Bombyx mori: one gene and its partner. The protein of the gene in region 2 interacts with the protein of the main gene of each other region in a biochemical or structural test. Links are inferred from orthologs where the notes say so. Each region holds a gene or a part of one and is shown on either strand. Other genes may lie near its edges.

The links.
Region 1: the proteins of mutS protein homolog 4 (region 2) and mutS protein homolog 5 form a complex in vitro, tested with the Homo sapiens proteins (2 studies listed by BioGRID). The link is inferred for Bombyx mori from reciprocal best matches to the Homo sapiens genes MSH4 and MSH5.

The regions. Positions count from the first base shown.
Region 1 is NC_085111.1:1,002,071-1,014,420, forward strand, and holds part of mutS protein homolog 5, read left to right. Parts: intron 1-229; coding exon 230-368; intron 369-698; coding exon 699-761; intron 762-832; coding exon 833-937; intron 938-1,428; coding exon 1,429-1,525; intron 1,526-1,967; coding exon 1,968-2,152; intron 2,153-3,781; coding exon 3,782-3,827; intron 3,828-3,907; coding exon 3,908-4,046; intron 4,047-4,547; coding exon 4,548-4,768; intron 4,769-6,021; coding exon 6,022-6,167; intron 6,168-8,011; coding exon 8,012-8,221; intron 8,222-9,408; coding exon 9,409-9,558; intron 9,559-12,350.
Region 2 is NC_085114.1:12,566,769-12,579,118, reverse strand, and holds the start of mutS protein homolog 4, read right to left. Parts: upstream 11,139-12,350; 5' UTR 10,909-11,138; coding exon 10,818-10,908; intron 9,698-10,817; coding exon 9,538-9,697; intron 8,637-9,537; coding exon 8,479-8,636; intron 6,001-8,478; coding exon 5,932-6,000; intron 5,750-5,931; coding exon 5,601-5,749; intron 5,200-5,600; coding exon 5,009-5,199; intron 4,922-5,008; coding exon 4,800-4,921; intron 4,733-4,799; coding exon 4,506-4,732; intron 4,431-4,505; coding exon 4,236-4,430; intron 4,149-4,235; coding exon 3,819-4,148; intron 3,339-3,818; coding exon 3,235-3,338; intron 3,124-3,234; coding exon 3,021-3,123; intron 2,949-3,020; coding exon 2,832-2,948; intron 2,741-2,831; coding exon 2,639-2,740; intron 1,833-2,638; coding exon 1,719-1,832; intron 1,434-1,718; coding exon 1,363-1,433; intron 1,276-1,362; coding exon 1,138-1,275; intron 764-1,137; coding exon 565-763; intron 2-564; coding exon 1-1. UniProt on the Homo sapiens protein: Involved in meiotic recombination. Required for reciprocal recombination and proper segregation of homologous chromosomes at meiosis.

The DNA of each region.
Region 1 (12,350 bases), on a different chromosome or scaffold from region 2:
GAAGAGATAGTAACAGAAATCGTAACAATAACTTCAGTGCCTTCAGCCACGTAGGGCACCGGGGACCTACATGGCAGTCAAAAGGTTAAATCATAAAAGTGCGTTCGAACCACGTTTACAACACCGATTTTTTTTTGTTGCGAAGAAAAAAAGTCAAGTTAGCTAGACTAGGCTAGAGAGAGTTCGCTGATCATCAATTGTCAAACTGTTTTCTTTCGACAATATCTAGGGTTCTGATGCAGCATCCGAGCAGGGATATAGCGGAGTTGCGCCGCCGCCAAGAAGTCGTGGCCTACTTCTTACGATCACAGAATGATCCTTTAATGAGGAATATCTGTTCTGCGCTAAGGTTCATTAGGAATGTTAATGTTAGTCCTTTTTTTATCGCAAAGTTTATTTGACGTGAAAAAATCTCAGGATAAATTAGAATACTGTCGTGATATATATATAAACATCTTGATTGTAGACACGAATATATATGGTCTTGACTTTTAAAACTAATTGATCCATGTATTACTGATAATTAACTATCTTTGCGGCCATTTTATGGATACGATTTCTTTTATGGGATATCATCTATCCATGAATTTTTGACTACTGTTATTAATTTGACGTGGAGATACTTCAATCAAGGTTTATTCATATACTGTTTAACAATATTGTTTTATAATCGGCTTTACAAAGTCTACATATTTCAGGGTATTTTAGCCAAAGTTAAGGCACTTTCAGCAAAACCGTATCAATGGAAATCTTTGTACAACGTAAGCATAAACATATACAGCAACTATGTACCTTCAATATTTGTTTTTAAAACTCTATAACCCGTCATCAGACGCTGTATAACGCGGTGCTGATATGCGAGATGTGTGAGAACGCCGGAAAATCCAGTTCTTTTTTAGAGCAGCTTGCCTCATGCGATAATAAGAAACTTTATGAGGTCAGAATTTAAATAGTATTTAAATAATCAATAACCTGTTATTGTTGTTGTATACCATACGAGTATATGTGTGGAGGAGCTCACGGCTAAAGATCCCATGGAGACAGCCCACTGAGTTTCTCGCCGGATCTTCTCAGTGGGTTGCGATTCCGATCCGGTGGTAGATTCTGCGAAGCACTGCTAGGGCTAGGGCTGGCTAGCAATTTCTCTCAGGTTGAGCCCATGAGCTCACCTACTCGTCCGCGTGAAGTTGGAATAACCTCTTAGGCAACCAAGGTGGGGCAAGGTAGCGAATAAGTTGTACAAAAACAAGCTAGGACACCAATGTCAGTACCGTCAACAACATATAAGACAAATGGTCGAAATCTGACCTACATGACTTTATAATTTATTAAAATAAACTTTATCAAGGTAGGTACATTTTTGAATTAGTAATGAAAATGATATAATAGTATAATGAAATCAATTGGATATTTTTGTATTTATACCAGATGGCCCTATACATGAATCGCATTATAGACTTCGATCAGTCTAAAACTGAAGGAAAGTTCACTGTAAAATCCGGCGTGGATCCTGAATTAGATCGAAGTAAGTATTATGAATTTGTACATATGTATGTAATTCCTCAAGATTTTCTATGTATCTCTTGATTTATCTCTATTTAGCTATTGTTATAGAACCAATGATGCCATGTTTGAAAATAAAACTTAAATTAGTACATACCATGATTTCACAATAATTTCCTTTTTTTTATTTTTTATTGCCCGTGTAGGCAGACGAGCATACGGCCCACCTGATGGTGAGTGGTTACCGCCGCCCATGGACTTCAGCAATGTCAGGGGCAGAGCCAAGCCGCTGCCTACCGTGATTTCATTACATTCAATCCCAATTAGTATATTTTTATACCTTATCTGTGTATCTAGTATGGCTCTAATAAAGAATTAAAAAAAAAAAAAAGTGTATCTAGTGTCATGTTAAGTCACTTACACATATAATATAAAGTTGTCTTGAATAATTTGAAAACAATCAGAAAAGCGAACAATGGCCAGTCTCCACGGGCTCATGTCGGAAACTGCTAAAGTGGAGTTGGAAAGACTGCCCTCTTTTATAGAAGAATGCAGCATGCTTTACATGCCGCACTTAGGGTACTTACTCGCCGTGAAAGTTTGGGACGGTATGGGGGCGAGGGAAGAGCTACCCGGCCTGAAGTTTATGGTGAGGCTCTATACATATTTCTTCAATGATGAAATTATTTGGTACTAGGTACTCTAGGTACTTTGGTACGGTGTGAATCCACAGACATAATTGTAAATGCCGCCATCTGTTTTGAGACATGAATTTGTAATTGTATTTTAAGACGGCTATCCTAACAACTGTGTCACAAAGGCATGGCCCCACGCGGCAACCCTCACACAGGATGGACCACACGCTCGTGATGGTATCATTTAATATAATTGAAGCCATGAGTGGATGAAGGGAATATGATACAATTTCTTAATTTTGAGAAAACGGGCAACAAACTTTTGTCACTTGTACTTTTTCTTCGTACACAACTCCATCACATGCAATCTCTAAAAATAGCCTTTAAACCTCGAGTCTTAAGGTCTAATATGGTTTATAGGCACATAATATCGTCATTCAATGTAAAAACTCAATAATCTTAAAAATGGTACTCAACCCTTCATCCACTCATGTCTTCAATTATGCTCTATAAAAATACCTTATGTTCTCTCTAGTATAAAGTTCATTTATCTGTCCCTGATTCTTAAACTTATAAAAGTGTGACTAGATTCATTGGTAATATTTCATTTTTACGGCAATAATGATATTTCTTACAAAAAATAATCTATATAGCTTATGATCGCATCTTCCTCTCGCTGTAAGTAGTACGTGTACGTTGTCTACAGTCCGGTGTGCTTAGTGTGAGTTTTTTTACGTTCTCGATAGCGTAAACGTTAACTCAAATTCGTATGCAGTTGAAACGGCACCCCTAGCGGCCAACGTCCCAACTGCGTACAAATTTGAGTTAACTTTTACACTATCGAGAACGTTAAAAAACTCGCACTAAGCACACTGTTCACTCTTGCAACAAAACAACCACTCGTCTCGGTTTGAATTGATTCTTTGGCTTCACAACTAGACATCTGGGCCACAACTTCACATTGGCTTACGAATTTCGAGTGATCGCTGAAACCGAGGAAGACGAGAGATCAATTAAACATCTTTTACTATTAATGCGATACTGTATGAATGGGTATACGTTTGTTACTTAATCACACAAAAACTAAGTTGTACTGTAAATCTGAGACTTAGAATTCATGTCTCAATGGCAATGTAGTCTCATGTACGGCATTTACATTTATTGTCTATGGGCTCCGGTAACCACCTAACACCAGGTGGGCTGTAAGCTAGTCTATCCATCAAAGCAAAAAAAAAGAAACAAACATAATTTGATGAAATAATCGCATAAATATATCTTAAAGTAAATCTGACAGTTCTGGTTCGTGAGTTTTCGTACCCATAAATCTACTCTTTTTTTTTTTGTTGCCCTTGTAGGCAGACGAGCATACGGTCCACCTGATGGTGAGTGGTTACCGTCGCCCATGGACTTCAGCAATGCCAGGGGCAGAACCAAGCCGCTGCCTACAAATCACTACTCATCGGCTGGTAGTTGTTGACCCAGCGGGCGACACAACTCTCTATCCCGGGACAACGCAGCGAATGCTAACCTTTCAAAATTACCGACAGAACGCGGGTGAAACCGCCTGGTACGTCTAGTGTTTAAATAGAATAATCTATATAGTGCTGTAATGTTTACTGCATAGTTAGGTACGTTGCTTTCAGTTTCAGAACAACGAGTTCGTTCACTACAAAAGTAAGGGTTGCGAAGGTATGTATGTATGTATGTAGTATCTGTAACATTTAGTTTCTTGTTTTAATTTTTTTTTTTATAAATAATTAACTTGTCAGAACTAGACGTGATGATCGGCGACACGTACCCCGAGATAGTAGCTCATGAGACCCGCATCATGATGAGGCTGACTGCAGTACTGCTTGAGCACCTCCACACCCTGGCTAGCGTTATCGATAACTGTGCAATGCTAGATTGGTTAGTTTATCGATACTTAATGTGGTCACTTTTAATCGTTTACAAAGATATTTCTGATACAAGAGCTTCTTTTTTATAACATAGATGTTTTTGCCCGGTGTTACTGGTGTTATCGGAGCCCATACATATCTCAACGTGCATGACGCCACTCACCTTGACACATGAGGTGGAAATCGAACTGTCAGACTCTTTCAGAGGCACTGGGGTAGCTGTTAGCAAATCTCATTCTTCCTGGCGGAACTAGAAATGCCTTTGTGTGTTCAATAACCTCCTCCATCCTATAAAATAAAAACCTTAATTTTCTGAACCATAGAGAGGACGTATCTATTCTGAAAATGAATGAATATTGGGAAATTATGTTTTTGTACAAGTCGAATAACACGTCCCAAAATCATAATAACAGCACTACATTTTATATAAATAAGCCGTAGTTTATTTTTAAACGCTATCTTCCTCGTAAATTTTATAAAATCAATATAAAGTTCCACTGAATTGTCCCAGTCTCATAGCAATATCGAAAACTAGTAAAGAGTTCGGCTACACCCAGCCCACTCTAGTCGAGACTAAGTCGATCAGTATCAAGCAAGGGAAGCACCCCTTACACATGACCACGTGCGAGGCCTTCGTACCCAACGACTTCGAGAGCAACGAACAAGTTGGCTGCGTTAAAATCCTGACCGGCCCTAACTCTAGTGGAAAATCTGTTTATATGAAGCAGATAGGTAAGTGACGCCTTCAGCTCTAACACTCTCCTCCTCCTCGCATCGTTTCCTCACTGCTGAGGGTCGTGACCATTATAATTCGACATAATTTTACTCCTTGTGATGTCCCGCCAGCTCCTCCGATCATTGGCCGCATGAAGGGCGTCGTGGAATGGGATCTCTAGTGTGGTGCGGATTTGGTCGAACCACCTTGTCGGACCAGCTCTAACACTAGGAGCAGGCTTAGGGACCCCGGAAACCGTACTCGTCGAACTCGACAAAAAGTTTGACATGCAACCTAACCCATGAATCAGCTCGCTGAGTTTCTCGCCGGATCTTCTCAATAGGTCGCGATTCTGATCCGGTAGTAGATTCATTCGCGAAGCAGCTGCTCTTGAGTTGTTAGGTTTCCTTCGGAGGCGCTCGGACAGCTGTTAGCAAATCCCACCCCTCCTGGCTGAGCTATTGCTCGCCCACCTGTCCTGGTGAAACTGGAAAGGCCTCCGGGCCACCACTAATCCTTCAATCCTAAAAAAAATAGAATATTCATGCGGGTGCTTAGTGTTGGGTAAAGTCACCGTCGTTGTCTGCCGCGAAATTAGATCTCTCTTAGGTTTAGATTTGGTCTCGTATCTTGAAGAGCATAACTTCAACACAATCATGTCTTAAAATAGGTCGACAGTTAAATTGAGTTTCATGTGATGCTAAGATTATTTCATCAAGTAAAGGACATCATGTGCATCTATCATCATCATCATCAGTCTACATATGTCCACAGCTGGACATAGGTACCCCTCATGATTCGCCCCAATGATCGGTTCTGCTTTACACGAGATCCAACGGCCACATTCTACGTGAGATGTGCCCTGTTCTGCCATTGCCAATTCAAAATCGGCATCTTTTGTGTTAGGTATATCGGTTATCATGGTTTTCCTGTGTATCTCTTCATTCCTGAACCGATCGCGTAAGGAAACTCCGTGCGCCTTTTCTATTGCACTTTGGGTGACTTTGTGACTTCTGATAATAGATGCGATTATAGAAATAGCTTAACTTGAACTCGCAACTGACCTGTGGCAGATGTGACTCTTAGAAGTAAGCATAAATAATTTTCATAATATGTCGCTTACATTCCACCACACGGGCAGTTCACAGTATCAAAAGTTCGGTAGGGTGAAGATACGAAACTACTAAAACCTAATATACTAATTTCATTCCTCAGGCAATCAGCCAATTGACCAGGAGCATAGTTGTTAAAACATTATTAATATCTCCAGGTCTGATAGTGTATTTAGCTCACATCGGTAGCTTCGTGCCGGCTGACTCGGCTGTCATAGGCATCGTGAGTCACATATTCACAAGGATGCAGTCAACTGAATGCATCGCAGCGCACATGTCAGCTTTCCTAATAGATTTGAGACAGGTTATTACTAGCATTGTTAGTAGTATTGTACTTGTAATATTAGTAGTATTGTACTAGTATTAGATTACTTAGAATTGAATACGTACATAATTCTAATGGTTAAAGATCAGCCAATATATACAAATATTGACATCGAAAAAGTTGCAGAGAACTTTCTAGAATATTTTTTCTTTGTTACATATGTAACTAAAGACGTAGATAAGTTATTTGCAATTTTGCTTGTATGCAATGGTTGAAGACGTCAGCCTCCAAGTGACGAAAATAGCACATACGTGTACTGTCATTGATTGTCTAAACGTTTAAATATAATTATTTAGTGCTTTCACTTATAACTCAGTGATATCTATCTGATGTCAAGTGATATCTGGAATAGGAGTGGGTGATATAAATCGTATATAGATTCAATATCTATATATCGCAGCAATATCGTTGAATCCGATATCGCCCCGCACGAAATCTATATATCGATATCAGCCGATACACGATATTGCTCGATGTGATGTGCATCGCCATATTGTACCGATTCGTGAATCGAAATCTATATTTCGATATCAGCCGATACACGATATTGCTCGATGTGATGCGCATCGCCATATCGTACCGATTCGTTAATATCAGCAATATTCGTTTGGTTCGTATCGAATCGGCCAGAGTGAGTGAGCGCACGATAGGGATATCATGTGATGAATGAAACAGAAACAGGCATTATCCATACAATTGTAAACCTTATATTTAAGTCCATATGTCTGTAGATTATTCTTAGTGTATCAGCAGGATACAATTAAGGAAAGAAGTTTCAACTTTCGACCCTAACTTGAATGCAGTATAACCTATTTGCATCGTTGAATTTAATTTCACGCGCTTTGACCTTGAACTAGAATTTTTGGACAAGTGTTTATAAATACTTAAAAGTTTTAGGGTTTGATTTTTAAAGTACACATTTTTCTATTTTTAGTTGAATCCAAATAATTGAGTTTATTTCTTGTGTTTGTATTAAACTTTTGAAATCTACACTCTTTTGGTATATTTTGTAATTTTAAATTAAGACACAAAATACTAAAAACTGAAAATAATGTAGCCAGTCCTAAGCCTGGTAAAAGCATGAAGGAAAGTTTTTTTGATATTTTTATTTTCATGTTCTTTTTATTACTTTAAGATCATATTATAAATTGATATCAGAAAACCAACCGTATAACGTTGACTTAAATCTATATCTACTACGATATTATATCAGCGTATCGTTTCAAATCTCAAATATCATGAATCGAGAAAATCTACTAGCATCCATCAATATATAGATTCAGAAAATATATAGATTCAATATCCGATATTGATCCTCGATATATAGATACGATTCGATACGCGGCAAAACCGATATTACCCACTCCTAATCTGGAAACCATTGACATCACAATGTTAATGCCGCTATTGAACTAGATACATGAGCTTTAAGTCTAAATTGTATAGTTTAAAGGCTGTTTCAAACTTCAAATAGAAAAGCTTTGTGGCAGAAATAGATCGGATGCCGGTTTTTTTCTTTTTTTTTATGGGTGATAGGCTTAGATGGGTGGACGAGCTCACAGCCCACCTCGTGTAAGTCTTTACTGGAGCCCATAGACATCCACAACGTAAATGCGCCATCCACCTTGAAATATAAGTTCTAAGATCTCAGTATAGTTACAACGGCTGCTACGCCCTTCAAACCGAAACGCATCACTGCTTCACGGCAGAAATAGGCAGAGTGGTGGTACCTACCCGCGCGGACTCACAAGTGGTCCTACCACCAGTAAATAGATCGGGTGCCGGTATCAAAACACAGGCACCGAAAGTTAGGAGCATTTCAGATGGCTCTGGTTCTACAAGAGTCGACGAGTAGCAGCCTGGTGCTGGTGGACGAGTTCGGCAAAGGCACAGCGCGGCGCGACGGGGCGGCCCTGCTGGCGGCCGCGCTGGGCGCCGTGCTGGCTCGCGCGCGCCGCCCGCACGTGCTGCTCGCCACGCACTTCCTGCAGCTGCACCACTACATCGCTCCCTCGCCACTACTCACGTTCTTGGTAATATTGACAACGCCATTCTTATAGAACATTTTTTATTATATTCTATTTTAATAACCTAACAACCAAGTTCACAGTTCAGGCTATGTAAAGCGGTACCACGACCTTTTTTTTGGTCACGAGGAAATCACCGGACTTCCGCATTCCACTAGAGATGAAGGGCGGGGTATGTCAGAGACAAACTGACTAAAACCTCTAGTCGCTCAACAACACACGTCCGAACCTCGCAAGAACTCATGAAAAGGCAGACCAGTGGTCGTCGACCACTAGCCCTCTCGGTCGGTAGGCTATCCGAAGCCCGTCTAGATGGCGGTTTGCTAGAATTTGCTAAAATGAGAATACCCCGCTAGGTCAGAACCAGCGTGGGTCGATTATAGCCGGCCTTTCATGACCCATGCTCTTGCGGAAAACGCGTGCAGAGCAGTTTGCACGTCATCTTCTTAGGTGCTTTTCGCCGATCCCCAGACCGCTATGTGATAGGACTCGAAACACTTAGAGGGCCAGGGTTTGGGCCAGCTTCGCCTCCTTGGCCCCCGCTCGACAGTAGCGGGATTATGCATCTTTCAAGCGCCCCGCCGCCACCTTCTGCGAGATGATGCACTCGCAGAAGTCGAGCACCGCCTTCCGTGAATCGTCGCCGCCGAACATTAGTGCTCGGCAAGGACAAGTCGTTTCCTATTTTTGCGGCGAGGTTACGGCGCCACCCCTCCCATGCGGGGCAGACGATGAGCGTGGGCTCCGCCGTGTCCAAGTCGCAACCACAATGGTGGCACTCTGCCATCGGCTCGGCTCCGATCCGGTGCAGGAACTCACCGAAGCAACCATGCCCAGTGAGCACCTGCGTGAGCCGGAAAGTGAGGCGTTTCGACGATTCACCCAATTTACAAGGACCAAGCGAATCGCCTCGACGGTCCTACGACCAGCCGAAGGATCGGCCAGCCGCCTAGACCAGGACCCCAGCACGGACCGCCGAAATTGGGCCCTCCGTGAACTGACCACACTGGGGTTGCGGTTCGTCACCACATGTCTACTTAAGACTGAGACTTCAATTCGTTTGGAATAGGAACAAGTGTCGTAGGTACCCCTCTAAGACAAGTGATACTTTGCGGTAGAAATTGTAGTATATTGAATATTTGAAATATTGAAGGTAAATGTGAAACCGCAGATAAATACGTTTGTTGCGTCAGACATTCGATCACGTAATGCGCGACGGCTCCCCCGTGTTCTTGTACCGCGCGCGGACGGGCGTCGCCGGCGCCGGGCTGGCGCGCCACGCCGCCGCCGGGCTGGGCGCACCCGCGCTGCGCCGCGCCGACCTACTGGCGCGCTGTCTGCAGGTCATCCACTGCACCATACATTATACACTTAATATATGAGACACTGCACCCTCAGACGGCTCCTGATAAATACTATAGACAAATTCATAAACATCTCCTGTACTTTGAAATCGATGTATTTCGCTTAACGAAAAAATACATATGATTAAACTTTTCAAAATCTTAAAAAAATCCAAATCATGCCAAATAAAGTATTGATGTGCCTTTGGAAAACATACAGCATTGTATTATGAAGAAGCAGTGTGTACTTAGCTTAGATTCCTTGTCTATGTCCAACCATAGACAGTCAATTTAGTTCCATCCTTAGCCGCTAGGTGCTGCCAGCAAGTATAAAGGGAGCGCAGCCATCTTTGATCTTCATAGCGTTGTGTACTTTCGTACTGTGAAGTCGCAAGTCCACTAATATTTATTCGACTTCTTATTAATTGCAAAAAATATTTATTTTGTGTTTCTATGAGTGTTATTTTGCAATCATTACGAGTATTATTTACCAATCCTATCATCGGACGCCATGAATCACGCGTCATCTGTTGGAGGTGATGTTGAGTCAAGCTCCATAATTTCCGAGAGGGAAGATGTCCAGGCGAGACGCGATGGAGACGCCTCGCGTTCGAACAGCTCGTCAAGCGAAAAAGAACAAAAGGAGTCTCTGCGTAAGAAACGACGGGATTCAAAGGTAACGGTCGATCTTCGAATCGGCTCGTTATCCCACCAGGTCAGTGACGTTGTAAATCTAATAATGCATCAACTGTGTGTAACAATTGAATGTAACGAAAATTGTTGTAAACAAATTGATCTCGTCAATACGGAAATTTTGACAAAAACACAACAGATTTAAACTAATAATCTTTGTAACATAATTACTGAAAACTTTGACAAATCGTCTCCGTCGTACAAGTTACCCGTAAAAAGCGTTTTAAATTGTATACGGAAAAAAGGGCCGTATGTATAGAAATAAGACGTCAAAGTTTAATTTCCGTGGTCTCTAACAAAGTATCCTGTTGCCAACGCACCACTCATTGAGGAATTTTTGTTTGATAATAGTAAATTGAAATCTATTCAGTCCCTCGGAGGGCTACAATCCTATTTGTCACGATCTCGTACAAAAGGTAAGCCAAACATTATAAACAATCATAGTCCGTAACATCTGGCACAATCCAGAGGGGGGCAATTGAAGACACCGACGGGAGGCACTGAGTGCCACCAAAATTGTAATAATTTGTAAACCATGTATGGTTACCAAATACCGTAAAAAAAAAACAAAAAAAAAATTTTCTGCGGAAGAAAAGCGACGGATCAATGCGTCCAACTGTTTTTCGGACACCTAGGTACCAAACTTTCTCCACCCAGGGGACTGGATGATAGAATTGAACATTTCTCAGGAATATTTTTCTAGTATCAGTCGCAAAATTTCGTCGATACTTCTTGAGGATCAGTACCAAGGTACCAGTATCAGTACCTCCAGGAAGGAATCGGTACCTTCTTATGAGTTAGTATGAAATGACATGCCTACCCTTCGATCTGGCTTCAGAGCCACACCTTTTTGCTTCTATAACATGCGGGTCGCAGAGACCTTGCGTGCAAAGGGAACTCGAGTGCTAGTGTCTACTAGACGACTTCCTTTTTGGTCGACCAAGACAAATCCAAGTTGAAACTTCAGGCTGCAGAAGCTGCGAAGCTTTTGGATTAACCTTTTTTGCTTCCATAACATGCTGGGTCGCAGAGACCTTGCGTGCAAAAGGAACTCGAGTGCTAGTCTACCTAGACGACTTCCTTTTGGTCGACCAAAACAAATCCAAGTTGAAACTTCAGGCTGCAGAAGCTGTGAAGGTTTTGGATTATCTGGGCTGGCATGTCAATTTCCATTATATAGGGTGCTCGGTCGCTCGGTCGCTCGGTCGCGGAGATATTGCGTGCAAAATCGAGTGCTAGCTTACCTACACGACTTAATCTTGTTTCACCAAGACAAATAAACGTTTTTGTTCCCATAGCATGCTCGGTCGCGGAGACCTTGCGTACATAGGGAAGTCAAATGTTAACGTACCTACGCGACTTTCTCTTGGTCCTTGAAGACAAATACACCTTTTTGCTTCCACAGCATGCTCGGTCGCAGAGGCATTGCGTGCAAAATCGAAGTGCTAGCTTACTTACACGACATGATCTTGTTTCACCAAGACAAATAAACGTTTTTGCTCCCATAGCATGCTCGGTCGCGAAGACCTTACGTACATAGGGAAGTCAAATGTTAACCTACCTACGCGACTTTTTCTTGGTCCATGAAGACAAATACACCTTTTTTGCTTGCATAGCATGCTCGGTCGCGGAAACATTGCGTGCAAAGGGATGTTGAGTGTTATCCCACCTACGCAAATCCCACCAGGTCCATCAAAAGAAGTCCAAGTTGAGTCTCCAGGCCACATAAGCTGTAAAACTCTTGGATTATTTGGGCTGCCAAGTCAGCCTTACAAAAAATCAATTAGTACACTGGTTCAAGAGATGACATGTCTAGGGATTCGATGGAAAATTGCGAGAAATGAAGTGGCCACTCAACAACATCCTAGCTCAAACTCTGACGGAATTACATCAATCTATGCTAACTTGCAAATTTTCTTGCGAAGTTTCAAGAAAAGGGGTTACAAATGCAGTGCTGACGCGGAGCCACATGTCAAACATTGCCGAGACCCAAAACCAACCATTTCCTGGCAACGGAAGCTTCGGACATGGGTAGGGGTTACAATTAGACAAAATATTAACGTCCTGTCTATGGTCAGCTCAACAACAGAAACGGCTCA
Region 2 (12,350 bases):
TCTGGAATATAATAATACAAAGATTTTAACTGATTTAATCCTTAAAATTATCTTTTGTGTTATTTGTTGAATTTACAAAAATTCACTCATAATAATTACTTTCAGTGTTATTTGACTTCGATAAATAGACTGAGAAATACCTAAATCAAATTAATCAACTTAGAACTATATAGATTTAAGAACTCAGGCGTACTAAATTTATTGTAATTTATACGATACATTCAAAACTCTCTGGTTGGCTTTATACCTTTGTAGGTGATTTCTCTATGCTTAATAAAATTATACCATTAGCATTACAGTCTGTCTACCATGTGGGAGTTTCTTCTGAAAAAGTTTTCCTGTTATGATGCTTGTTGTTTATTAAATAAACTTTGACTATATCTCTATAATTTTCCATATTTTCCACATAAGAGCATGCCATAAAACTTGGACTAGTAAAATAGAAAGCCAATCGCTGTAGTCGGGAAGGGGGTGTACCGATGACATCATAAATGAATATCTTCGAGAAAAATCTTACAAATAATTTATTTATATTAATATTCTTATTTATGTATAATACTTAACCTCTTCATCAATGGTCATAAGTTCTGCTAGTTCAAATGCAAGTTTTACGGTGTCTTCTGGTAAATTTGTTTTTGCTGCCAAAGCCAATCCATAGTTTTTTATATTCGTAACTCCTAATTCTATTTTATGTTCATAAATCAGTTTTTTATGAGAATCGTTCAGTTCATCAACGTTTTCTTCCTTAACAGTAGTATGGCGACTACAAAATTATACGTATCGTCGTAAGCAATAAAGTAAAAATTGCCTTAAAATTTAAATCGTTAGTTAAAATATCAAATAACTCTGAATTTTATTCCAATTTACCCCAGTTATCGACATTATATTACAAGATGGGATTCATATCGCGTGTATGATGATAAGTTATCGTTAAAACGAAATGACTTTTTAGCCTACACACATTTTTAATGCAAATTTGAAAAACAATTTTTAACACACCAAAAAATATTAAAAGAATCAAATAAAAATGATAAACTTGCGGTTGCGAGTCTAATTTTTGTTTAGAAACAATAAAATGACAATTGTTAATGTGATTATTTTTTTCTTGTTAGTTTTTGCTTAGAGCGTACTACATACTTGACCACGTTGTAGTAAAGGTGTTGCAATTTCGTCAAATATAAAAAGTGTGTTGTGAAGAACGTGAAAGCGTCAGATAATATTAATTCTTCACAGATCGCCCAAGCTATACTGACTCCCTCTTCGTATGTTGTACCGCTGGATAAATATTCCATATTATATATTTACATAGAAAGGAAATTTTATACATAATTTTTTCAATAATGTCTTTAAATAGGTACTGACCGACAGAGTTCGTCTATTATGACCAGGCTTGATGGCGTCAGTCCTTTTAAAATATGCTGCATCTCTTTCATCTGTCATAGAAATACTAGTTTAATTTATATTAATGTTATTAAATATTCTCTGAGTTGGAACAGCTTCCCTTAGTTTGCCGCCAGGGGCGTTGTTCGAACTCCACACAAATCTTAATTAGCTTTCTTTTACGCGATCGAGAAGATAAAAAAACTCGCACTGAGCACACAGATGTGAAAAATTGCTAACAATTACGTATAGTTTTTGTGTTCGAAATTTTCAGATACATGTATCCAATAAATACTTTAAAAGTCACACTTTACTTTAAATGTAATGAGAAATATTACCTCGAAAACAAAAGTAGAAGCGTTCAACTCAACGCTGTCGTTGAAACCGATTCTCGAAAATATTCTGTCACTAAGTCGCAGTACAGCATTAGTAGCGGGCAAGAAACAACCAATCTGCTTAGTAATTTAAAAGCAGTTATAACGTTACAATATATAATTAGGCAATGGTACACTACTGGTGGTAGGGTCTCTTGTGAGTTCGCACGGGTACCACCGCCCTGCCTATTTCTGCCGTGAAGCAGTAATGCGTTTCGGTTTGAAGGGTGAGGCAGCCGTTGTAACTATACTGAGACCTTAGATCTTATATCTCAAGGTGTGTGGCGCATTTACGTTGTAGATGTCTATGGGCTCCAGTAACCACTTAATACCAGGTGGGCTGTGAGCTCGTCCACACACATAAGCAATAAAAAAAATAAAAATTGATTTAATTAAATTAGAACGCTTTCAACTTATTTTAATACGCTTTTATTAAATTCATACGAAGGTTAGTATGTATGTTCGTAATATCTCAAAAAGCACCTCACGCTTTTTACAATTAGTTCATTTTTGAATCGGATTTTTTATAAAAGCGTGTTTTTTAGTTTTTTTTAAACTATTATTTATATCCTTTTAGTACAGAATTTTACTTAATGCAATCAAGCAACAAATTCGAAGCCTAAAAGAAATTCGAGATTACTAGTGTAAAATAAATAGGATATACTCTGTTTTTAATTGGTAGGCAGTGGCCTAGAATTGTTGACGTCCATGAGTGACAGTAACCACTCACCATCAGGTGGACCATATTATTATGCTCTTCTGGCAATATTTTCTTTTTATTTCAAAACATCGATAAATCATTTTAATGTATGCTATTCTCAATCGAAACATTTATTAAATTGGTCATTCATGAAGTTATGATAGCTAAATTATTGGAAACTCACTTGCGCCATAACATGCATAATAGCAATCTGTTTTATATAAACACTTTTGCCGCCCATATTCGGACCGGTGATTATAGTGAAATTGTATTCTGGGCTGGCATTCTATAAAAGTAAAAGAGATACTCTATAAATAATTGATGAACGTGAAAAAAGAAGTTTTCAATTCTATGATTTTATTTCGCGCGTTTCTTACTATGTCATTTGGAACTGGCATCACGTGACTGTTATAATCCAATAACGGATGGACGCTGTTTCTTATTTCTAAATAGCTGTTAAATTCCGGTCTGATATACGACCCTACCATGCTAGCCTGGAACATATAAGAAGTTAAGAGGTACGAGTTATAATGCTTTTGTTCCATTAAAATATGTACAATCCGAACCTGTGCTAATGCCAGGAGGATGTCAATTTCAGCAACGTTCTCGCATAATTTGTACAGACTCGACATGTATGGCCTTAAGTCTTTCAATAATGCGTCGATAACTCTGGAAATGTCGTATTTAGGAAATAAAACTTGTCGAACATGTTTTAGTTTAAGAAAAAAACAGATATTTAGTGACCGGAATCGGTTATATTTAAAAAAATATTAAACTAACATGTTACTCATTCTTTGTATTTCATTCAAAGATTCCTTTGCCTGTTGATCGAGAACTACAAGTTCTTCAGTCGACATCGATACGCTGGCTCCGTTGTTGTGTACCTAAATATGAAACTTAAAATATGTGTAATTAGATTTATTTTTAAGGTTTCATTTTGATTTTCTTATTTATTTATTAATATTTTAATTGTATCTCGATTTTCCCGACATAAAACATTGAAATCATTGGCCTACCTTTCTTCTTTTTCTTTTTATTCGGGCCGGGACCGAACCTCCTACGAGGTCCCCGCGCCTAGAGGGCGCGCGGGGTATGTGGGCCTGGTCCGCGACTGCGAAACCGCGGGCCCAAGGATGTTTTCAGAGCCCTATCCACTAAACGACTCCCTTGCACTCTTCGCCCAAGCGTCCGATCCCCTCCGAGGTCAGGACCCGGAGGTAAGGGGGTTACCGCGGTCAAAACTACAACCAGGCGACGCAGCTCACCCCAAGGACGCCCGGCCGACGGAGCCTTCGAGGATTCATTCGATCATTGGCCTACCTGCCTTCCTTGTCAAGTTTCACGTATGTCACGTACCTACTTACCTGTATGAAAATTGGGGGCAGATCTTCAATACTGAAATTGCGTCTGTTTTTTGGAGCTATAGGTAAAACTATGTGGAATCCTTTCATAACGTTTTGGTTTAGCCGCAGAGGCAGGTCGTATGTCTCGCTGAGCTGTTCGACAATTTTCTGTATGTCATCTATTAATTCAGAATACGTCCTTCTGGCCACATCAAGGAGTCCGTTAATGTCGGGCTTGACTGCAAAACATCTTTGGAGATTTCCCATAACACCCTTCTCGAAATGCGCGTCGTCTTGTATGATATTTTTTATGCGTTCGGCAATTTCATTGTAATGTGGATTTTCGAAATCCTGGATAAGAAACATTTGGATAAATGAAAACGGACCTAATTTATTGAGTAATTGAAAAACGAAAATTGCTTAAACAGCAAACCTGACCGTTTTAAATTGTCTTAACAGACCACTTTCGGCACGATTCAAAGCTTCAACTAGTTTTGGTACCATATTCATTGTCGTTTTTAGAATTAACACTTGATTGAGCTGCGCCTCTCCTAATTTGTCAGCATTTTGAATATTATGCTCAACGCACAAGAATAATATTTTATCAATATCTGATAGCCTTTTCAAAATGTCCTGAAATACGTTCAGCTATTAACATAAGGTGAGCGACAAACAGCAATATTGATCGACAATAGTCACATTCCCCACCTGTAAATCAGCCATCAAACCATTGTCATTTTCAATTAAATCTTGAAGAACATCTAGTTTTGATTCAATTAATTGTTTATTGCAAGACGGTTGCAAGATAGAAGCCCTCAATGCCCTAATCCCTCCAACAGTATAAGTCGGGCCAAGCACACCAAGAAGACAACACATTGGTCCAGCCGAAGGAACTAAAGGCTGAACTAATTCCAGTTGCGTTGCCGTACCTACGTCTAAAGATATCGTTAATCATTTTAAGTTTTTCCCTGAATACTTTATTAAGCAAAGTTGTTTCTTTACCAATAATCATAGTGTTTTCTGACGAATGATAATCGACTTTGAGAGATTCTCTTGCGAAAACTATACATTGGATGTGTTCTACATATTTCAGCACCGCTGCTGCAGCGGTTAGTGCGTAAAATCTTAAATAAAAATTACGCTTTTTTTTAAAATTGCGAACACAAAAATTCTAATCGATTATTTGTTTTTTTTTTATTATTTGAACGGACTTATGCAGTACTTGGAGATAAGCCCCGCTGTATTGCGGTGCGCAAAGCGTCTGTATGTTCTGACGGCCTGCTGAATCATTGAAATGCCTCCTTTGTACCGTCGTTAGGGTACACAAAGGGAACTGGTCTTTTATCAATTGATAAAGTTGATTCGGTTTCACGCCCTCGCAGAATGTGTGCGGCACAATTATCTGTAATGTTGCGTGATAATTGAGCGAGCGTTATACCTATTAATGACTAGCCGTGCTCGCCCGCTTCGGTGGGCATTTAAAATTAACATTATTATTTATTGTCATTATTCCTATCCATTAAGTACATGTATTTTCTACATGGATACCAAGTTTCAAGTCAATTGGATGCATGGTTCAGTAGTTATAAACGGAACATTCGTAAAAACTACTGTAGATTAATATATAGGCTAATATTTATATGACTCCCTACACCAGTTGCGGGGGCGTCAATGATGAGAATGTTTGTGGGGGTGAGAAATAATAATGTTAATTTTAAATGCCCAGCGAAGCGGACGAGTACAGCTAGTATTAGTATAGATATACATACATGTACCCACGAGCTGCGTTAGTTATTACATTACCTCAACTGGATTGAAGTAGTTTATTTTTGTTAGTGTGTGAGTGTATAAGAGCGTGTCACTAAATTGACACAGTACTAGATGTGGATGTTTTAGATCGACGGCTGCCATTCCTATTTCCCCGCGGGCCATTCCTCTGCCTTCCGATATAGCTAAACAAAACACGTTCATATTTCTAAATAATATTGATATGTAGATTTTAATAATATTTTACATTGCGTAAAAAAAATTAAGCGTACGGAAAATAAGACGAGGCAAAATAATAAGATGTATATTTGAAAAAGACAATTTTCTCAAGATTATTGTGTCAATCATATTTTTTATTATTTTTTACCTAAAATAACACTAGCTTCTACTGCGGACACGCTCGTTGATCTGCCCGATCTGGCGCCGCTATAACCACCTAAAACCAAGCTAAAGTTTGATACATAATTGATGAAACAAATACATAATAATTAATATAATAATAACTGTATATCAATGACATGCTGTCTATTGATGGCATGCATTGCTATGCGGATGACAGCACGGGGGATGCGCGATATATCGGCCATCAGAGTCTCTCTCGAAGCGTGGTGCAAGAGAGACGATCAAAACTTGTGTCTGAAGTGGAGAACTCTCTGGGGCGAGTCTCCAAATGGGGTGAATTGAACTTGGTTCAATTCAACCCGTTAAAGACACAAGTTTGCGCGTTCACTGCGAAGAAGGACCCCTTTGTCATGGCGCCGCAATTCCAAGGAGTATCCCTGCAACCTTCCGAGAGTATTGGGATACTTGGGGTCGACATTTCGAGCGATGTCCAGTTTCGGAGTCATTTGGAAGGCAAAGCCAAGTTGGCGTCCAAAATGCTGGGAGTCCTCAACAGAGCGAAGCGGTACTTCACGCCTGGACAAAGGCTTCTGCTTTATAAAGCACAAGTCCGGCCTCGCGTGGAGTACTGCTCCCATCTCTGGGCCGGGGCTCCCAAATACCAGCTTCTTCCATTTGACTCCATACAGAGGAGGGCCGTTCGGATTGTCGATAATCCCAATGTCACGGATCGTTTGGAACCTCTGGGTCTGCGGAGGGACTTCGGTTCTCTCTGTATTTTGTACCGTATGTTCCATGGGGAGTGCTCTGAGGAATTGTTCGAGATGATACCGGCATCTCGTTTTTACCATCGCACCGCCCGCCACCGGAGTAGAGTTCATCCGTACTACCTGGAGCCACTGCGGTCATCCACAGTGCGTTTCCAGAGATCTTTTTTGCCACGTACCATCCGGCTATGGAATGAGCTCCCCTCCACGGTGTTTCCCGAGCGCTATGACATGTCCTTCTTCAAACGAGGCTTGTGGAGAGTATTAAGCGGTAGGCAGCGGCTTGGCTCTGCCCCTGGCATTGCTGAAGTCCATGGGCAACGGTAACCACTCACCATCAGGTGGGCCGTATGCTCGTCTGCCTACAAGGGCAATAAAAAAAAAAAAAAAAAAAAAAATAACTGAGGACAAAACACGCACGGCCGTCCGGCCCCAAATTAGGATTCCTTGTGTTATGGGTACCAGAGACAAACATACATACTATGACTACTTTTAAATACATATGTATATAGATAATAAACACCCAGACAAAGAGCAAATAAAACTGTTCGTGATGGGAATTCGCTCCGGGCATTTCAATATTGCAATAATTGTTATGTTATAATACTCATTGTAAAAATTAATAATAATAAAAAACTAATATTAAAAAAAAAGAAGAAAAGAGACATGCCCGCTGAGTTTCTTGCCAGTTCTTCTCAGGACGGAGGCTGGTTTTTGTGAATTGGCGGTAGTTCTTTTTGACGTTCAACAAGTATGTACTTTCATTTATGTTGAATATTTTTTTTTATTTGATTTGATTTGATTTTAATGTTTGCTTGCCCGATGTGGGAATCGAACCCACGAGCCCCGGCGCAATAGTCAGACGCGCTAACTACTGCACCACCGAGTCAGTTAGAATTATATAATCATCATCACTATTAGCCCACAGTCGTCCACTGCTGGACATAGGCCTCTTCCAATCCATACCAAGTATATAATATTTAATCTAATTTAAAAAAAAAATGCATGCAAAGAAAAACCTTTTTTATGTAATTTTTATTAAAACCTTTTTAGTTTAAAAAAAAAGGATCTTTCTTATATAGATTGACTAAACTCTCTGTCATTGAGAAAAAATACGAGTTCAGTTTTATTTAACTCAAGAATACTGTGTAAAATTATTTGTGAAAAATAAAGGCTTTAAATGTGGTTTCTATAACAATATTCCATAACCACTATTAGAATATTCCATATGTATTCCATGCCATATTCTATATATTTTTATTGCTTAGATGGGTGAACGAGCTCACAGCCCACCTTGGTGTTAAGTGGTTACTGGAGCCCATAGACATCTACAATGTAAATGCGTCACCCACATTGGGACATGGGTTCTAAGGCAGAAATAGCCAGGGCGGTGGTACCTACCCGTGCGGACTCACAATAGGTCCTACCACCAGTAATTACGCAAATTACCTATATAATTTTGCGGGTTTGATTTTTGTTACACAATGTTATGCCTTCGCTGTGGAAGTCAATCGTGAACATAAATTGTTAAGTACATATTTCATTAGAAAAATTGGTACCCGCTTGTGGGATTCGAACAGCGTTGCATCGCTAGATACGATTGCACCGGACGTCTTATCCTTTAGACCACGACGACTTCATCAACGTCATTCTATTACCTACATACTTCTTAAATCGCTCGTGAGTTATGGAAGAAAGCTGTTTTTGAAACTATTTGAAGACAAAATTTTGTACTGAATAAATTAGTTTAGGAACTTTGAAAATGTTAACATTTTTTTTACTACTACAACATTAAAAACAATTACCTCTACTACTACTGCTTATGTATCTCAAGGCGGTTGGCCGATTCCTGGGTGTGCGCATGTCGTTGGAAGTATCAGCGGTGGAATCGTTAGCTAGTACTGCGGGCATCTGTCTTCCGCTTGAAGACGACTCTAGTCTTGACGAGATCGAGCTTATTAATCTATAAAGTTTTAATCTGAGCTGAAAAGTTTGTACAGTCGTGCAATCAAGTGTTATTTCGATTTTGGAACAAAACCCATTTTTGTAGACCAATGTCGTATACCATTATATGAAGTACACTAATGGTCTTCACTGTGGTAGACGATGGTAGAATATATTATAGTCCAATAGAATCGAATCCAAAAAATACTCATGAGTTATTAGCACAAGGCAAGCATGTAGACATTTCTGAAGTGCGAGATAGTTGTTATTTAAAGGATTTCTGATGACCTACTTAATTATGATTTAAATATGTATGTAGGTACGTGAACAACACATAAGTACTAAACAAGAATTATAACTGGTTATCTATAATAATATATTAATACGTGAAGCAAAAACTTTGTACCCCTTTTTACGAAAATTGCGCGGACAGAGGAGTATGAAATTTCCCACCCTCATAGTTTATATAGAGAAGGAATGCAGAATGCTAATAACTTTTTAAAATTATACATAAACATACATTAAATCAATAAGAAAAACATTACATACGCTACCATGTATGTATTTGACGCATACATAAATACTCTTTTGTTTATTGTTAGTCTGTGGTCGAATTGAAAACAGAATAATATAATTTGTCTATAGTGTAGCCTTGGCCAAATTTGTGAAAACAAGTTTATTGACAATAGAACCCTAACAATGTACAAACTTATATTTGAAATTAATTATAGTCGAATTTCGACCACTAGGCACTTTCACATTAATAATATTAGTATGGATAAATAGATATTGTAGTTTTTATAATTAATTATATGGCTACTATAAAAATATAAATAGGTAGCCTGGCGAATGTTTTTTTTCTATAGAGCGCTTTTAGAATTTGTCAAATGTCTATGGCATAATCAATAATTTTAAGGTACCTTTTTTTGGAACTAGGCGGAGGCCTTGAAGGAGGTCCCATAGATGACCGTTTGGTTGAAGTTTTCACGGCAGCATCGAATTGATACCTAGGACCTTTCATCGTATTTTTACTTGCACTACAGTATGAGGACACTGGCAGTAGGGAAGTACCGCGTATACCTACAAAATGTTCTTGTTATCTACTAATAAAGGTTAAAGTGTGAAGTTTCCGTCTTTAGCGTAATGGTCACACGGAATTAAAAATAAACTTACAGGATTCAATAAAGACTAGAGGCAGACAGAGTGTTTTTACAAACGTAGGTACTAAAATTGTAGGTATCACTTTATTATTTAATGTTGAGACTTTCGATTGTTTTTAATACAATTTCTCAGTTAAACCTAGACACCTTAAGAATTGGAGTAATTCTCGACGCGGTTGTAACCTAGAAACAAATATGCAAAAGAACGGAAAATATGCCGCGTTTTTTTTCTTTTTTTTATTGCTTAGATTGATGGACGAGCGCACAGCCCACCTAGTGTTAAGTGGTTACTGGAGCCCATAGACATCTACAACGTAAATGCGCCACCCATCTTGAGATATAAGTTCTAAGTTCTCAGTATAGTTACAACGGCTGCCCTACCCTTCAGACCGAAACGCATTACTGCTTCACGGCAGAAACAGGCAGGGCGGTGGTACCTACCCACGCGGACTCAGAAGAGGTCCTACTACCAGAGATTAAAAGGAATTCCGAGTGTGAGCCGGTCCACGCGGGCCCTATTGACCAACGCATCTGACACGGCATTGTTAAAACTACTAAGTAACTACTACCTCATGTATTTTATCCAAGTCGACCGTTTATACTGCGGATATTTATAGGGTACTCGATATTTCGGCCCTGTCGCAAGGGTAATGAATCACGGATAGAAAAATCTGTGTACCCTTCTCTCCTATCTTTCTACGAATTTCTTTTTGCCCTCACTGAACAAGTAATAGACAGAACGAACTTATTCACCATAAGATAGATTGAGTTTCATAAGTTTCATTTATTAACTACTGCAGCTATAGACGCAGTATTATAAAAAAAGGATAAAAACGTGTCGAAAAATAGAATCGATAATTTAGATGTCCGCGAATGAATACGTTCTAATGTGTTTTTTATGTAAGGTGGTATCTTTACCTTCATCTTTTTTCAGTATGGCATTATGGTTCGTTGCGATTCTATTTTACAGTCAATCTAAAACTTTATTTCACCATCTCGGTTTCGATAGCAGATTAACAAAAATAAATAAAAGTGCTAACCCAAGGATGCGTCTCTTCTTGCAAAATCTGCTGTAAAGTTGGTTCGTGTTTTGTTTTTACCAGTTGTTATTTCCCTGTGTACTACGTTCATGTTTAACACTTTATTCCTTACGTATTTTCTTCATAAAAAACAACCCTTCTATTTAGTTAAAATATTAGAAATTCGCGCCTTTTCTGCGACCACGAAATAAAATTTATTTTTGTTGTCCACTCGGACAGGCAAATGGGTCTTAGCCCATCCAACCTAATTTTTAGTTTTAAAATGATGACCCTCTTTGTTCTTTTTTTTTCAAGAAATGCTATCAGCTTCTTACTATACCATTGTTGCTAGTGTCGAGTCTATAACAATAGTTTTACAGTTATGTGGGTGATTTTTAGAGAATGGGTAGCTTATATATAAGGTACAGCCATAGGCTCTCTTAATTATAAACAGTATATAATTATTAATATTTCTGTTTATTATATACCTAATGTACACTAGATACTACAATTTTAATACAAATGCTGTTTGGATACATCGTATCTATTGAGGAATCTAAGCCGTATATGAATGTACTGTAAAATAACCGGATATCCGGTAATATCTTCCAGACTGTAAAAAACCCTCCTATTTCAAACTAACCACAAGCCCGTGTGGATTTATAATCGTATTGTAACTAAATACATAATATTAATATTATTATGTAGTACAAACAAAATTGGTAATTTAAGTAGGCTTGATTTTAATCACACAATCTTATTCTCTTTAATTTCAAACGCTTTCGCGAACGTATATACGCATAAGGTACGTATTTGTCAAGAAAATATACCTTTTCCCAAAATTTGAACCCGTAATGCGAGTACAGAGGGTGTCTTATTCCTTACTATGAGACTTCAGATGGATCAAAACACGCCACACATAAAAATATGATTAATGTTGCTAACGTCAAAATAACAATACATAATATTTACACTAACAGTCAAGAGCCATGCGTTAAAAACATGTACATATATGTAATAAAAACGATAACCCCGTGAGTTCACTTTTCATTACTGCAATCAATTGATTTTGTTACAATCTCCGAATTGTATGTACATATTTTGTGATTATTTTTTTCGTGCTTTGATATCATTTTTGACAGAGAACATTGGGGTTTATTGTTTGTGTCGCTTTAAGATTACTCTGGAAACGAAAAACAGAATTCACCACAATCGCGGGATAGCATATTCATTTGTATTTTTTATTTATTTTTTATTGCTTAGGCGGGTGGACGAACTCACGGCCCACCTGATGTTAAGTGGTTACCGGAGCCCATAGACATCTATATATATAAAAATGAATTGCTGTTCGTTAGTCTCGCTAAAACTCGAGAACGGCTCGACCGATTTGGCTAATTTTGGTCTTGAATTATTTGTAGAAGTCCAGAGAAGGTTTAAAAGGTAGATACATATGAAAATGCTCGGAATTAAATAAAAATAACAATTTTGTGTTCCCTTTGATGTGTCCTCCGTCGGACGGATTCCTTTTGTTTGTTTTAAGTTTATTTTATACAA